Linked DNA regions of Diceros bicornis minor. The protein of the gene in region 1 purifies or fractionates together with the protein of each later gene. This does not show direct contact. Links are inferred from orthologs where the notes say so. Each region holds a gene or a part of one and is shown in the gene's direction. Other genes may lie near its edges.

Region 1 (7,945 bases):
GTTTGGGGGCACAATACAATGCTCCAGGCTCATCCTGCACCTACTCTGCCCCAGACCTAAAATCAGCCATGTCCCCAAAGAGCCCTGAATCTTTTTCTTGGGTACAGCATTTGGAGACCACAATCCATGCACTAGTAAGCGGAGGAGCTGAGATGTGAACCCAGGCAGTCTGACTTCAGAGCTGGTGCTCTTACCCTCTATGCCCTCTGTCTCCGGTTAATAATGCGTATTAGTGACAGTAACAGTAATAATTATAACTGTTACTCCTACTGCCATAGCCAGCTGCTCACTATGTGTCAGATGCCCTGCAAGGTGCTTCCCAACATTTTAAAAGCATTATCATTATAACAACCCTCTGGGGTAGGTGTTATTATTCTAATCTTTCAGAAGAGGACATCGAGGCTCTGAAAGGTAAGTGACTGACCCAAGATCACACGGTGAGCGGAAGAACATGGATGCAAACCGAGGTCTGTGTGACTCTCAAGCCTGTCCCCTTAGTCAATATAGACCATGTTGGTTAGTGAGAATTCTGTCTTTGGTGATTTCCACCTTGTCTCCTTTCCACAGTTCCTTGCTTTCTCCCTTAGCCCCAGATACTCCCTGTGTCCCAGGGCCCCAGAGCTCTGGGGCCAGACATTCATTTGGTATTTTTCCAGGTGATCCACCCAGTGAGCATTTGTTGGGCCCCTACTACATTCAGAGCTGTGCTAGGGCACGGGTGGTCTAATTGGGAAGACGAAATCATTACATATAGTGTGTTTCTGCTGTAACATAAGAGGGGTACTCTGCTTTAGCACCCCTAGAGAAACATTCAACTCTCCCAGGGGGATCCGGGAATCCAAACAGCCTTTGAAAACCAAAGAACTGGAGCTTAAATTGTGGTGGGGGGGAGCGGGGGGTTTCCAGACACCATGACAGATGGTGGAGGTTTTCTGGCCGAGGACTCAGCTACACACTCTTCAATTCGTTCCAGGTAGATGGCTGCCTGCTTGTAAGGAGGAATGGCTGGGAGCCTACAGAGACAGGGAGAGTTGCATAAGAGTTGCTCTTCACAGGAAGGGTTGTCCTGTCCCCGGCACCCATCAAGTTCAGCAGAAGACTGGAAGCAGACTGTAGATAAGTCCTGGGATCAAAGAGAGCAGGAGAAGATTGCTATGGGGGAGAGGAGGGACCGCGGGACTGGGGCTCCAGCCCTTCTGTATCTGGGGCCTCCAAAGCCAGGCTCCGGACAGGCAGAAGACTGCTGCGGAGGGTCACTGTAGCAGTTAGTCATTGTTGTGTAATAACCATCCCCAAACTTAGTGGCTTAAGATAATCAACATTTATTATTTACCAGATCCTGTGGGTATGTTGAGCAGTTTTCTGGTCAGGGCTGGCTGAGCTGATCTCTGTGGTAAGCAGGTGGCTTGGCTGGGGCTGGATGATCTAGGACGGCCTCACTCACGTCTTGTAGGTGGCCCAATGTCAGCTGGGGTGACAAAGATGGCTTGGCCACCTGTCTCTCATCATCCAGGAGGATCGTTAGGGTTTGTTCACATGGTGGTGGTTAGAAGGCTCCCAAGAGCAGCAAGGAGAGGGCCAGCTCCAGTGCACAGGTACTTCACAAGCCTCTGCTTGCCTCACCTTTGTTAATGTCGCACTGGCTAAAGCAAGTCACATGACCAAGCCCCCAGATTCGAGGAGCAGAGAAACAGATCCACTTCTTGGAAGGAGTCATACTGTGAAGAGGTGTAGATATGGGAAGGAGAGGAATTTGCAACCATTTTTGCAATCTGCGTGTTTATAGGCATCCATTCCCTCTTTGACTATACAGCACCCCTGTGTTCATTTGGGGCATCCACTCCTACCCCCAAACTCAGACCTAGACAATCAGAGGCACAATGATTGGTTCAAGGATGGGCATGTGACCCAATTCTGGCCAATGAGATTCAGTCCTGGGACTTTTGCTGGGGACTGTTGGGAATGACGTGCTTTCTTTCTGCTGAAGCAGTTGTGCTAGTAGAATATAGGCCTGGAGCATCTGGAGGCCATGCTTGCCACCACATGGGAGGAGTCTGCCTGAGCAATAAGCCAACACTGAGGAAAACAGATATAAGGCATTAAGAAAGACAGATTGAGAGGAAGGAAAAGAGCCCAATCTGATGACACCCGGATCAAGCCACACCTGAATACTTACTCCTGGACTTTTCAGTTACATGAGCTAATATATTCCCTTTTTTGATTAGGCCATTTTGAGTTGGCAATCTAACTCAATACTTGTAACCAAAAGAATCCTGACTAATACAGCTCCCTCTCTTAAAAGTTCTTCCTCTCTGATCTCAAAGCTCTTCCCATTTGTAGATCGTGATTTGGGCAGATATTGTTTGTTTAATTTACTGCTTGTCCCCCTTGCCTGGGCATATAGTGAGTTCTCTGTAAACACTTATTGCAAGTATCAATAGGAGGAGTTGGGACACCTCCTAAGAGGATGCTGTGGTGACAGGCAGGTAACCAGTCTCAGGGAGAAGCTCCCAGAGCTGCTGGTCTAACAGGCAGGTGAGCAGGTGATGGACACAGTCCGTCAATGTAAACTATGCCTCCTGGCCCTAGGGCTGGGCTCCAAGGTGGAAGGGACTGGTGAGAACAAGGCAGGTCCACGTCTAGGAGGATCAGGATGGGGCCTGGTCACAGGGACAAAGCAAGGCCTTACTGTGAGTCCACAGCAAGCACGGGGCCCACAGCACTTCCACCTCTCCTGACTGCCGCCACCCTGGTCCAACCCCTTGTCACCACCTCCTGATTGGTACTTCTGCTCTTTCCCCCTAAAACCCCTTCTTCACTCAGCAGCTAGAGTGACCTTTTGAGAATGTAAATCAGATCATGTTACCTCCCTGCCTGAAACCCTCCAGGGGCTTCCTCCTGTGCTTAGAGCAACATAGCAACAACAACAGCTGACACTTACACGGTGCTCCTTAGGTGCCAGGCACTGTTCTAGGCACTTGACTTACAATAGCTCATTTAATTCTCACAACATCCCTATAACACAAGTACTATTATCATCATCCCCATTTTACAGATGAGAAAACTGAGGCACAGAAAGGTTCAATAGCTGGCCTGAGAGTTAACATGGATTAAAATCCAAACTCTTTACCAAGGTCTAGAACTTTCCACCCTAGGTCTTTGCATGGTGGCCTCTATCTTATCAGTTAGGTCCTAGAACAAATGTCACCTTCTCAGAGAGGACTTTGCAGATCATCCATTTTATAGTGTCGTCCCACTTTGGTAAGTCCAAATCCTTCCTTTTCCTCTCACCAGCAAAGTGCCCTATGTAAGTTTCCTGTTTCCTTCCCTTTTCCCATTTGGTTGGAGTGAATCTGAAGTAAGTGTATATGTGTAAAAACACCTATAACAGTGCTTTGCATACAAGTGTCTAACAAATGTCAGCTATTGTTTTAATGGATATTAAAGTCCTTTGTCCAAATGCTGCTAAGATTATTATTATTGCCCACTGAGTATTTGGGCACAGGCTGGGAAAAATCAGTAGAGTACAGCTCTGGCTCAGAGGCCAGAGGTTCCTTATGATGACAGCCCAAAGGATGGAAGACTTAACCTCTCTGAGCCTCAGTGTCCTTGTCTGTAAAATGGCAATAATAACCTTACCTCTGCCGACTTCACAGGGAAGCTCGAGTGCCTGCCCAATGGAAGCACTTAGAAAAATATTTGTTGAATGAATGAGTGCATGGACCACATGAGGGGGCAGTGGCAAGCTGCAGGGGTCTGCCCTGAGCAACATGACTGCTGACTTGCTGCCCATGAGACCTGATGCAATGGAGGCCCACCTAGGGCAGTGGACGAGTGCTGAATTGAGCAGACACGCTGGGTGGTGCGCTGGTCAGTGCTTCACATTTGGACAATGGGCACTCTTGGTAAGAACGTAAATGTATTGGTATGGCCTTTTTGGAAAAATCATGTAGTGCTAGCTATCACAGTTTTAATAGAGCATCCAAATATACTTAGTAGTTCCATTTATAGGAAATCATCTCCCAGATATCCAGGCTCAAGTATGCCAAGATTTATATAGTGTGTTCAATGCAACTCTTTGCAATAGTGAAAAACTGAAAACAACCTAAATGTTCCTCAGTACGGGAGTAGATAAAGAAATTGTGTTACATCTATACTATGGACCATGCAGCTATTAAAAAGAATGAGGTAAACCTATATGTATTAACATGGAGAGGTCTCAAGATGTACGATTAAATAAACAGAAAAACTCAAGTTGATAGAGCTATGCATTTAATATAATAACATTTGTGGAAAAAATCGTATCTATGTATCTGAATAGGAAATATCTGGAAGGCTACACAAAGTTAAGGTGGTTATCTCTAACCACCTTACCTTTAACCTTTGAAGTTAAAATTTTAAATTCATAAAAGAGCTCCCATATGAAGTCTCGAGGCCCTATTTGTAGTCTGGTCAGTGACACCGCGTGACGCAATGACAGCCTATTCGCGTTTTTGAGCCGAAGCTTCCTCCTGTGTAAACTAACAATAATACCTACCTCCTCGTGCTGTGATGGGTGAGATGAAATAACATGTATGAAATCCCCTGCTCAGGGCAAGGATAGATCACTAGAGCAATCAGGGAGGGTGACTCGAAGAAGGAGGCATGAGTCTAGACTTTGAAAGATTTGGCAAGGCCTGGATTTAGTTTGATTCCCGGTTGTCTTTTCCAATATTCAACAGGCATTTATTTATTAAAGGTCTGGTACAAAACCGGATGTGGGCTTTTTAACTACTCACCTCCTGTCGCAAGCTGCCAAGCAGCAGCCTAGCGCGTGCGCAGTGAGAGCATCTTTGGCTGAGCTCCGCCCACGTACTACAACTCCCGGCAGGCTCTGCGCACGGTTTTGGCGCGTCGCGGAATACTGACGTAGCTCAGTAGCGCGGGGAATTTCGAGTGGCAGTGGAGCGCGAGAGGCCAGTGGTTGGCGGACCCCCAGCCTCCGTAGGAGAGACCATGGACTCCGTAGTTGAGCCTCGGTGGCCTCCAGGCCTGGCAGTCATGAAAGTGAGTGCTTCGGGGAGGTTGGGGGCGCCCGGGTGTCCGCGGGAGGCCTGCCCCGCCTTGAGGAGGAGAAGGGAGGAGGCGCGAGCAGGGAGCTGGGCCAGGGTACCCGGCTCTGCTCTGCCGCTTGCCGACTGCGTGGCTCTGCGCCTCAGTTTCCTCCCCTGAGAAGTAACAGGGACAGGCCTCGGTCCCTTACGTGAGTTGAAGTTGGCCGTCGTATGGAACCGGGTATTCTGCGGTTCAGCCACAACCATAACACTGACCTCGAGAAAAACAGTTATTCTCAACAATGAGAACGACAATGACAACTAATCCTTCCTGAGGGCTTGCTATCTGCTAAGCATTATGTAAACTCTCGTAGTATGTTGGTTGAGATTTCCCAAAGTGACACCAGACGTGATTTTGGGTGGACCCTGCATCAAATAACATTTATTTAATCACTTAGCGAAGCAGGTAGTCTCCTTTACATTCTCTTTGGTTTCTTCTAATTAGACTCTGGAAGCCTAGCGCTGGTTTGTCCTAACTCCTCCCTAATGTGTCCTAACTCCTAACAGTTGTGCATCTCTCTTTTAAACAAAGAGATCAGGACTCAGGCTCAGCACTAGCCTTTCATTTCATTGAATTATTTCACTTAAATAACACATTTTTGTGGCTACTTTGTTTTTAGCAAGGCATATCAGTTTCCATTTATATTAGTGGTGATCCCTGGATTCCTGCTAGGTTTAGTCAAGAGCGAATACACTTTGCTGTGTTACCTAAGAATCAGTTGCTTGGTTTTGCTCCCTGCTCTGTGATTATTTCAGTTTGTGGCTGTGGGCAAGATCGAGTTCTCGTTTTGTTCGTCAGTTTTGTAAACTTGGGGATTATGGTATCTGTCCCACAGACTCGTAAGGCTGATTTTGAGAGTCAAGTAAGGGGACTTGAGAGAAGTTAAAGTAAGTATAAGGCCTTGTTCGTCCTGCTGTCATCAGTGTCATCTACAGTGCTTGGGGCCTTGAGATATCCCCATGGTGAAAAGCTGACATTGTGGAAGGATCCACGAAAGCTGTAGTTTTGAAGTTGTGGTGGCCTTGGCACCAAGCTGCAATGGAGAAGAGCATAGATTTGAGTTTCAGTGCTCCTGAGTTAAATCTGGTCTCTGCCTCTTATTTACCGTGTGATGGTGAGTTACTTACTTAACCTCTCTGAGCTTGAATTTCCTCAACTCTAAATCTGAGACAAAAATAAACAGTTTATAGGATTGGTTAAATGAATTGATGTATCTGGATAGGGATCCTGTTTGGCTTTTTTCATTGTGCGTAACTGAGTGCCTGGCACATAGTGGATGCTCAGAAATTGTTTGCTAATTGATTCAAGGTGTCTGGAAGGTAGTAAGCATTCAATTATATATCTTTATTATTGTTATTAGCCCTTAACGTGTTAAGTGTTTCCCCCCTCCTTTGTATTTCTTGTTATGAAGAGTGAATTGGATAAAGGAAGTGAAAGCTCTGTAACTTGTAAAGCACTTGCTTTGTAGATTTAAGCATATTTTACATATTTATATATTCCACATGTTTTTTAGAGGCACGTTCCACGTCTCCTCTGGTTTTGGTATCTCACCACAGCACTTAATACAGGGACAGCACCAGAGAGTGTTCAGTGATGGAGTTGATTGAGCCCATATTAGAATCATGGTATCTTAAGGTTGGAAAGCCAGCTCCCTCCAGTATTTTAATCCCTTTTATAGCATATCTGCCAATTTCTCATCTAGCTTTTGCTTGAACTCTTCCAGGGACGAAGAACTACCTGCTCCCAGAAGTAGCTCTGTTTGAAGTTCTTTCTTATGTTGAATAGAAATCTGACTCCTGAATCCTTGGTTCCAGACCTAGGATCCATGGAAAGACTTTGGTATCTGGAATTATTTATAAAATTTTTGTCTATGTGTATGTTTTTCTGAGAAGAGAGTCCATAGTTTTCATCCATTTTTCAAAAGGATCTGTGACCCAAAAAACTTAAGAACCTTTGCTCTAATTATTTAGTCTTTTCACCCGTTCCCCACTTCCCCTTTTTACTTTGTCTCTCTAAGTTAAAGAAATCCTGGGCAATCCACTTGACCGCTCTCTATTCAGGCTATTTTTTTTTTTTTTGGTTGAGGCACACGTGGTATGCATGTTACTGGCTTGAAATGGCATGACTAGAAATTTATACAGGCTTGTTACAACTCATTTGATGCGGTGTCACCTTCCACAAATTTCGCTCAGCAGATCTATCAGAGCCACTCCTCTGGAAGAGGATGGTTATGTAGAAGCAAGTTGAACAGAGTTGAGGCCAGGGCTCTGGCTTCCAGCCCTGCCTCTGCTCTTAACTGGTCTTCAACACAATCCAGCTTTTTGTGTCAGTGCTGGCTTACCATCCAAAATAATGGAAGATTTTGGCATTTTAATGTTTATTTCTCTAGTTTTATTGTAACAAAAATTTCTATTTTTGACAGATTATAAATGTAGCATGTGTGTATAGTAGAAAAACATAAAAATTCAGAATAAGATAAAGGGGAAAATGAAAATTACCCATCATCCTACCATCCAGAGATAACCACTGTTTAACGTTTTCTATTTTCCTTTAGTTTTTCTTGTGTGTGCCTTGTGCACACACATACCTGCAATGTGTATATGCATTTAAAATTTGGGGTCACTTTGGAGTCAATTTCTTGAGTTTGATCCAGCCACTTATAAGCTCTGTAGACTTCATCTATAAAACTGGGATACAGATGCTATAGACTTCCTAAGATTGTTATGAGATTAAACTATATAGTTCTATTATTATGCATTATTGTCGTAGATTTGTTCTCTGATTTTTTAAAGTTTCCTTTAAAACATAAACATTTTCCCATGGCATTAATTGTTCTTTGAAAGCATGTTTT
Region 2 (7,392 bases), on another chromosome or scaffold:
TACAATTCGAGACAGGACGTCTTTAATATGGTTCTCCTCTTCCAAAATGTTCAGTGTTCCCTGAAAAAGAACAAGAGATAAGTCTAAAATAAATAAAATTTAAAAAAAAAAAAAAAAAAGGGCCGGCCCTGTGGCTTGGTGGTTAAGTGCGCGCGCTCTGATGCTGGTGGCCCGGGTTCGGATCCCGGGCGCGCACCGAGGCACCACTTCTCCGGCTATCCTGAGGCCGAGTCCCACATACAGCAACTAAAAGGATGTGCAGCTATGACATACAACTATCTACTGGGGCTTTGGGGAGAAAAAAATAAATAAAATCTTTAAAAAAAAAAAAAAGAGATAAGTCTGAAAGACTGCATTCAAGGTAAAAACCTGGGCTGTAAAAGTGTACAAAACTCATCAGCAGGCCTGCTTTGAAACTAACCAAAATAAACAAACCTGTTCTCCATGTCTGAGTCACTTGTCCTGCATTCTCACTAATCATTCTGCCCACTTAAAGCTTAAGGGAGGGTTGCATCAGCTAATAAAATGGCTGTCACACAGAGCAAGGAGGACATCACTGCTCTCCTTTACAAACCGAAGAGACTCTCATATTGTTTCATTTTGTAAGAGGGTCGGGGGAGAAGTATAGAAATAAGGAGTACATGGAGAGGCTGATAAAATGAGAGTTAGGAGAAGCAACTGAAAACTTTACCAACAGTTCTACTATTAGAAGATACAGAAAGACTATTACTGGGACTCTCTTCCGAATTTTGATATCAAGATTAATAAATTATGACTTCTATCAAGTTTCCCCAGAACTAGCAAAATACAAATCCTAGCTAGCTATGTTAATTAATAATTTTAAAGGGATTTTTTTTTTTTCCAATAAAGGCACTAGACTTTGGGGATGAAAAGGGGTGAAAATTCCACTTTTCTTGCCCTTTGTAAAATAGAAAAAAAAGGCTGTGGATTTTAAACATGTTTAAAGTCATATTATAACTCCTGAAACAAATTCATTCTGCAATTTTTTATTGCTAGTATCATAGTTCATTTTGGAATAAAAGGAAACAAACAGCAAAGTGCCATCTAATTTAGATCTAAGAATCTTATTCATTTGCTGAACAAGTTTAATCTCCTCTGCCCTATGTTCATACTTTTAAAAACAGAAGTCAACACATAAGGGATTAATTAAACCTAGTAAGACAAATGTGATGAATTATGATTTCTAGTGATGGTGGTTCTTTTTACCTTGAAGGTTAACATTTAATATTATACAAAGCATGCTGTTTGACCTTTGTAGAATCAGTGAATTTTTACACAAATGCTACACTGAAGAAGTCACACCTTGTCTAAACTACCTTGGAAACACAAGTCTTCCAATCAACCATTCCTTACATTTGCAATCAGCTCCATGACACTGTTCTTCAGATAGACCTTCTCCAACCGAGACATGCTGTTCCACCGAAACCTGGTCAAAATGCATAAAGTCAACAGAACCACATTAGAAGTCTTCTCTTCATAAGAGACTAGCTTTGATTCCTGTGTTAGGTTATGCTGGTGATTTCATTAAGAAATTATACTTTTGACTTTGTACCCTTCGAAGAATGGACAAAATCAGTCCACATTTAACCAAAATGCTAAAATAACAGAAAAATTCTTGGGAAAGAGTTTTATATAGGCAGTGGTCTATTAACTGGAATCCACACAAGATTTGTGCACAGATTAGCTTTTCCCCTTGATTTTACTGACAAACTAAAATCAAATATATCTGGGACAACTGCAACAATGTAGTTGCTTTTTGGAAAATACCATCTTGATACCACTAACTCCCTTTCAGGCTGGCTTACAAGGTAATGGCACAATTCCAGAAAAACTGTGGCTAAGTCTTAAAAGCTGATTCTTCTGATAGGCACTGGGCATAGGAGACTCAAGTCAGGAAGGGTTTTCAGTTATTCTCATATAACCCTCCTTTGGATTTGCCCTTCAGAGAAGGCACACACTCAAACTTAAAAAAAAAAAACTTAAAGGCACAGTGATTAATCAGAGATTTATTTACCTAAACATTGCATTATTCTAATAACACTTTGAGTTGGCTGGTATACAGTAAGAGCTCAATAAAAGCTGGCTGAATAACTATCAGCTAATATTTGTAGAATGCTTAGTATTAGTACCACTCACTTTACATGGATGAAGAAACTGAAGAAGAGAAAGGTTAAATGCTGAATGAGAGCTCCCAAGAGGCTGTACTAACCTCTCGGGGACCATTCCTTTCTTCTTGGGGACTGCTCTTTTCTATTAACCCAAAGAGTATCTCTATGAGTTACATAAGAAACAAAGATTTGCTCTCTCACAGACTTCGGTGGTAATATCCAAAAGCTCCTTACTTGACAACGTGTTCCAGGATCTGAAGGCCAAAATGTCTGACGATGGCAATTTGTGTTTTCTCAGCCAACCTCAAGCCACAGGGGACACAGATAGGGCACTTTTCTTTAAACTCCTCACAAAACTGAAAGAAGAAAAGTTAGCATTTCTCTTAGGAGCCAAGACAGTAGGGACTAAAAAATCTTCATCTTAAGAAACTCTAACCTGAACTATATATAAATATATATATATATATTTTTTTTTTCCTGAGGAAGATTCACCCTGAGCTAACATCCACGCCAATCTTCCTCTATTTTTTAGTATGTGGGCTGCCAGCACAGCATGGCTGCTCACAGAGCGGTATAGGTCTGCACCCTCACAGAGCGGTATAGGTCTGCACCCAGGAACTGAACCTGGGCCACTGAAACAGAGGACACTGAACTGAACCACTCGGCCACTGGGGTGGGCCCTGAGCTTTATTTTTAAGTTGCAAAATCTAGATCAATATTATATGAGTAAAGAACCAATAAACATTCCTTTCCTTTGGATAGTTCCAGATTTTCCATGCTATGTCCAACTAATGTTGAAAAACATTCTTGACCTAAATGAGTAAAAAATTATTTGTTAGATGTGATACACCTGCGAAGTACATAGGGGTGACATGACAATTCCTAGCATTTGCTTTAAAAACCTTTGGTGGAGGGGAAGAGAGAAAGCAAATGTGGCGAAATCTTTATAACTGCTGAGTTTAGGGGATAGGTATATACAAGATCACTGTAGTATTCTACTTTTGTGTCTATTTTCAGTATTTCATAGCAAAAAACAAACTAATAGAACCCAATTGTTTCTGATTCCAAATCCTGTGGCATACATCTAAATACCGAAACGTTTCCTCCAAGTGATGCTCACTTTACTTTATGAAGTTACATCAGTTAAAACAGGCATAGCACAAGTGTTTTTTCCGAGTAGTCATTTCTCAAAGCCCACATACAGAGTTTGATGCGGGAATAAGTTTGTACTCTACTAGTATCCCCATTTGTATTAGCATTCCCAAATTGCAACACGAGAGTCAGTCCCAGGAGCTGAGCATCCGGGACTCAAGAAAACTACTTTCAGGAAACCAAAGCGCCCTTGTTAAAATGCAAAGTAAGTGGTGGAAGTTCATCTTTGCGAAAAATAGCCTAAGAATAACCCAGACTAAAAAACATGGGGGAAGGGGGTGTGAGAATTAGCCCAGAGATACCCAAGACACAGAAAAGGGTTGGCAAGAAGTGTAAGGATGTAAGTAAAGGGGTGCTAGGGGGGCTGGAGCTCGATTAGGACGGGTCAGGAGAGTGGGTCAGCAAGGAAACGTTTAGCGCAGAGGAGATCATAAAGAATGTAGCTGGTGTTGGGGACGGGATGGGCACGTGCGCCACGGGAAGGCGAGGGGACGCGGGGATGCGGGGCTTGAGGGAATGAAATGGGTGCAGACGGCTCTGGAGAGGGTCGTGGTGCGGACAAAAGTGAACGGAAGTGAGGAAGGGGGAGGAGAGGGCAGTGGGAAGTGATCGTGAGATGAGAAGCAGCTAGGGACCGGAGTGTCCCGGGAGAAGGGGAGGCGCGGCGAGCAGAGAAGGCGGGGATGGGAAGAGGCGCAGAGGGCGGCGAGGCGGAGGCCCCCCGGGGTTGGGGAGGGAGGTCCAGAGGCCTCGTGGCCCGGAGACGACCAGGGTTATGGGCGGCGCCGGGACGCCTGGGGCTGGGCGAGGGTCTCGGGGCAGGCCCAGGTCGCCAGACCCCAGCTACCTTGAGGGCTTCCAGCCGGTAGCGCTGGGTGGAGCTGGGGTCCATCATGACCGTCACCGCTTTCACGAGCTGCTCGCACAGCGCGTTCACTTGATCCATCGCCATGGCTAGTGACTCGTGCCGCAAGCGCCCACCACAGCCGTCCCAGGAGCACGAGGGACGGACGGCTCCCTTGGCGGGACCCACGCTGGTACCGGGCCGCGGCGGGCTGAGGGGTGGGGAGCGGGAGGAGGAGCGTGAGCGGCAGAAGCTCCACGGGGAAGGAGCCGGCGCTGCGCACGCGCCCGACTCGCCACTGCGCACGCGCCCGCGGAAGTGGGGGCTCTCTGGTACGGTTACTCCTCGGTGGGCGGGGCGGGAGACGGAAGGGCCGCGGTGCGCAGGCGCGTCAACGGCCCTTCGCGGCGCGCGCGCAGTTCGATCCCTGTCAGGCGGGCTGGCAGCTGGGTGCCCCGCCCTGGGCTGGACCCACCCGGCTGTGCGGCGCCTGCCCGAGCACTGATCCTTTGCGACCCTTGGTCCGTTCCTCCGTCGTTACGGGGAATAAATCTCACTCGAAACCAGAAACTGGCCCGCTCCTGGAAAGGGGTCAGATATTGCAGATCCCTTCGTCTTCCAGTGGACCCCCAGCCCATCATCGGCGGCGTCCGCGGTTGGCAGTTTTGCCCGGCGTTCGTCACCTTGGTAAGAGAATTTAGAACCGTTCGGTATCACTGTTTTCAGACTTTGCATGTTGCCTTGGCTGTTGGTTTTATGATATAGCAGTGGCCAGTGACAACGTTGGGCCGGAATTACATGAATTAGAAATACATGCTCACTGAGAGATAAGCCCTGGTATTATCCTCTAAGAGCATTTTTCTTGTGGAAACTATATTTTTTCCGTAGCTCTTCACTTGTACTGCTTTTCCTTGGATGTGTTATTACCTGATCAGCACCAAACTTGTTTTGTACTGATTGGTATAAATGGCGATATTTAAAGATGAAGCCGGTCCGGTGGCGCAGCGGTTAAGTTCGCGCGCTCCACTTCCGCGGCCCGGAGTTCCCAGGTTCCGATCCCGGGCGTGGCCCGACGCATTGCTTGTCAGGCCATGCTGTGGCAGGCGTCCCACATATAAAGTACAGGAAGATGGGCACGGATGTTAGCCCAGGGCCAATCTTCCTCAGCAAACAGAGGAGGATTGGCATCAGGTGTTTGCTCAGGGCTAATCTTCCACACAAAAAAATAAAGATAAATTATTGAAGGTTTGTGCAGTTTTGATCACTTGAAATGCTGTATATAAGACTTCAAAGTAGTGTAATCCTTCCGAAAGGAGGGTTTTTACAGAGAGTGTTTCATTTTCCAGCAAGCTCTTGCTTTAAAAAGCTCTTGCTTTCTCCAGCAAAATACCTAAACTGAAAACTTCAACAGCCTTATTATCTGTTAAAGTCTGCATATGGGTTTTTGTGTTTGTATATTCAGTAAAATGTTCGCTGGACTTAAATCACTGCTTTCTATTCATACTCCACCGTCTGCTATTTGTATCTAATATGGAACTTACCTGGGTTTTTTGTGAAAATGCATTTATTATTTTTATTCTGGCATTATGTATTCCAGTACTACACAAAAGCCACTGCAAAGTAAAGTGATTTCTGACATGTTATGGTTTTAACTTATAAATGTTTAAAGTATCACATTCTGCCTGTTTTAGGTGAGTGGAATTTATAAGGAATCAATGCTTTGACTACTCTGATTTTTTTAATTTATTGTTTTCTTTCCACTAATCTTCCAACTTGTAGTTGCATGCCACTTTTTTCAAGGTGAATGGTAGTTTTTGACACTTTTTTAGAATACAGTTGAGTACTTACTCAACTGTATAACCTGTGTTTCTCGTATTTAAATCATGAATTACTGGTGTTTCCATAAGTATCTTATTTACTTTAGGTCAGTGGTTCCCAATCTCTACTGCATATTAAAACTGCCTAGAGAGCTTTTAAAAATCACAGTGCCCAGGTCACACCCATACCAATTAAATTAGGATGTCTGGTGGTAGAAGCCAGATATCAATATTATTTAAATGTTACTAGGTGATTCCAATTTGGAACAAAGTTTGGGAGCCACTGCTTTAGTTTACATTCCTTCTTTCAGATCTCTAACAATGTTAAATGATAACATTGGTCTCTATCCACTGTCAAGTATATAAGGTTTGTTCTTGCAGTCTACCATCCATACCTTTATGTATGTCTACCCATGAATAGTGTGTAAGTATTGTTTTCTTTTATCTTGAAAAATTGATGTGAATGGGTAGAAAATCACCATTAGAACACTATAAAGTAATTGTTATAGGTAAGATCCACTGATGGGTGCTTAGTGGTTGAAAGTTTGAGGAGAAACAGGATATTTGCATAGTCTCAAAATATCTCCCCTAAGATATCAGTTACAAAAGGAAAAGTAGTAACTTTACAGTGAGAAACCTGGCAAACGCTATCTCAACGAAATGATCATGGTTAACATCACCAGTAATAAGACATATTGACATCTTGTACCTCCCAATGTGATACACTGAGAGGAGCACATCACTTTCATAATATTCTTGCTGAAAATGCGTAACTTCAATCTAATCAAGAGAAAACATCAGACAAACCTAAATTGAGAGACAGTCTCACAGTAACTGACTAGTTCTCTTCAAAAGCGTCAAGGTCATGAAAAACAAGGGAAGACTGAGGAAGTGTCACAGATTGGAGACCACTAAGGAGACTTGATGACTAAGATTGGATCCTAGATTGGATCCTGAAACACAAAAAAGACATTAGTGGAATAACCGGTGAAATTCAAGCAAAGTATGTAGTTGAATATTATACCAATATTCATTTTTGTTTGTTTGTTTTTATTTTTTATTTTTATTTTTTGTTTATTGCGGTAACATTGGTTTATAACATTGTATAAATTTCAGGTGTACATCATTATACTTCTGTTTCTGCATGGATTACATCATGTTCTCATGTTCACCACCCAATATTCATTTTTTAGTTTTGATAATTGTGCTATATAAAATGTTAACATTAGGGGCAACTGGGTGTAGGAGAACCCTACTGTTTTTGCAACTTTTCTATAAGTCTAAAATTATTTCAAAATAAAAACTTAAAAAAATTCACATGAATGCTATGAGGTTATATAACATTTTCTGCTTCTCTTTTCTCTGAACTTATACTTGAGATTTGTCTATCAACTAGATTAACTGTTGGCTTTATCCCTCTATTGACGTGCATTGTGGTTTTAATTTGCAT

The links. Proteins that work in one complex are often made in the same cells at the same time.
Region 2: the proteins of RAD18 (region 1) and POLH purify together in Homo sapiens (affinity purification with western blotting; 7 studies listed by BioGRID, with this or other methods). This does not show direct contact. The link is inferred for Diceros bicornis minor from reciprocal best matches to the Homo sapiens genes RAD18 and POLH.

Annotation. Positions count from the first base shown.
Region 1 is NC_080741.1:71,256,045-71,263,989, forward strand, and holds the start of RAD18 (E3 ubiquitin-protein ligase RAD18), read left to right. Parts: upstream 1-4,924; 5' UTR 4,925-4,995; coding exon 4,996-5,046; intron 5,047-7,945. UniProt on the Homo sapiens protein: E3 ubiquitin-protein ligase involved in postreplication repair of UV-damaged DNA. Postreplication repair functions in gap-filling of a daughter strand on replication of damaged DNA.
Region 2 is NC_080753.1:22,200,870-22,208,261, reverse strand, and holds the start of POLH (DNA polymerase eta), read left to right. Parts: upstream 1-4,371; 5' UTR 4,372-4,812; intron 4,813-5,722; exon of another isoform or gene 5,723-6,797; 5' UTR 6,798-6,945; intron 6,946-7,392. Other genes in the region: XPO5 (exportin-5), read right to left, coding at 1-60, 1,375-1,447, 2,364-2,485, 4,129-4,233. UniProt on the Homo sapiens protein: DNA polymerase specifically involved in the DNA repair by translesion synthesis (TLS). Due to low processivity on both damaged and normal DNA, cooperates with the heterotetrameric (REV3L, REV7, POLD2 and POLD3) POLZ complex for complete bypass of DNA lesions.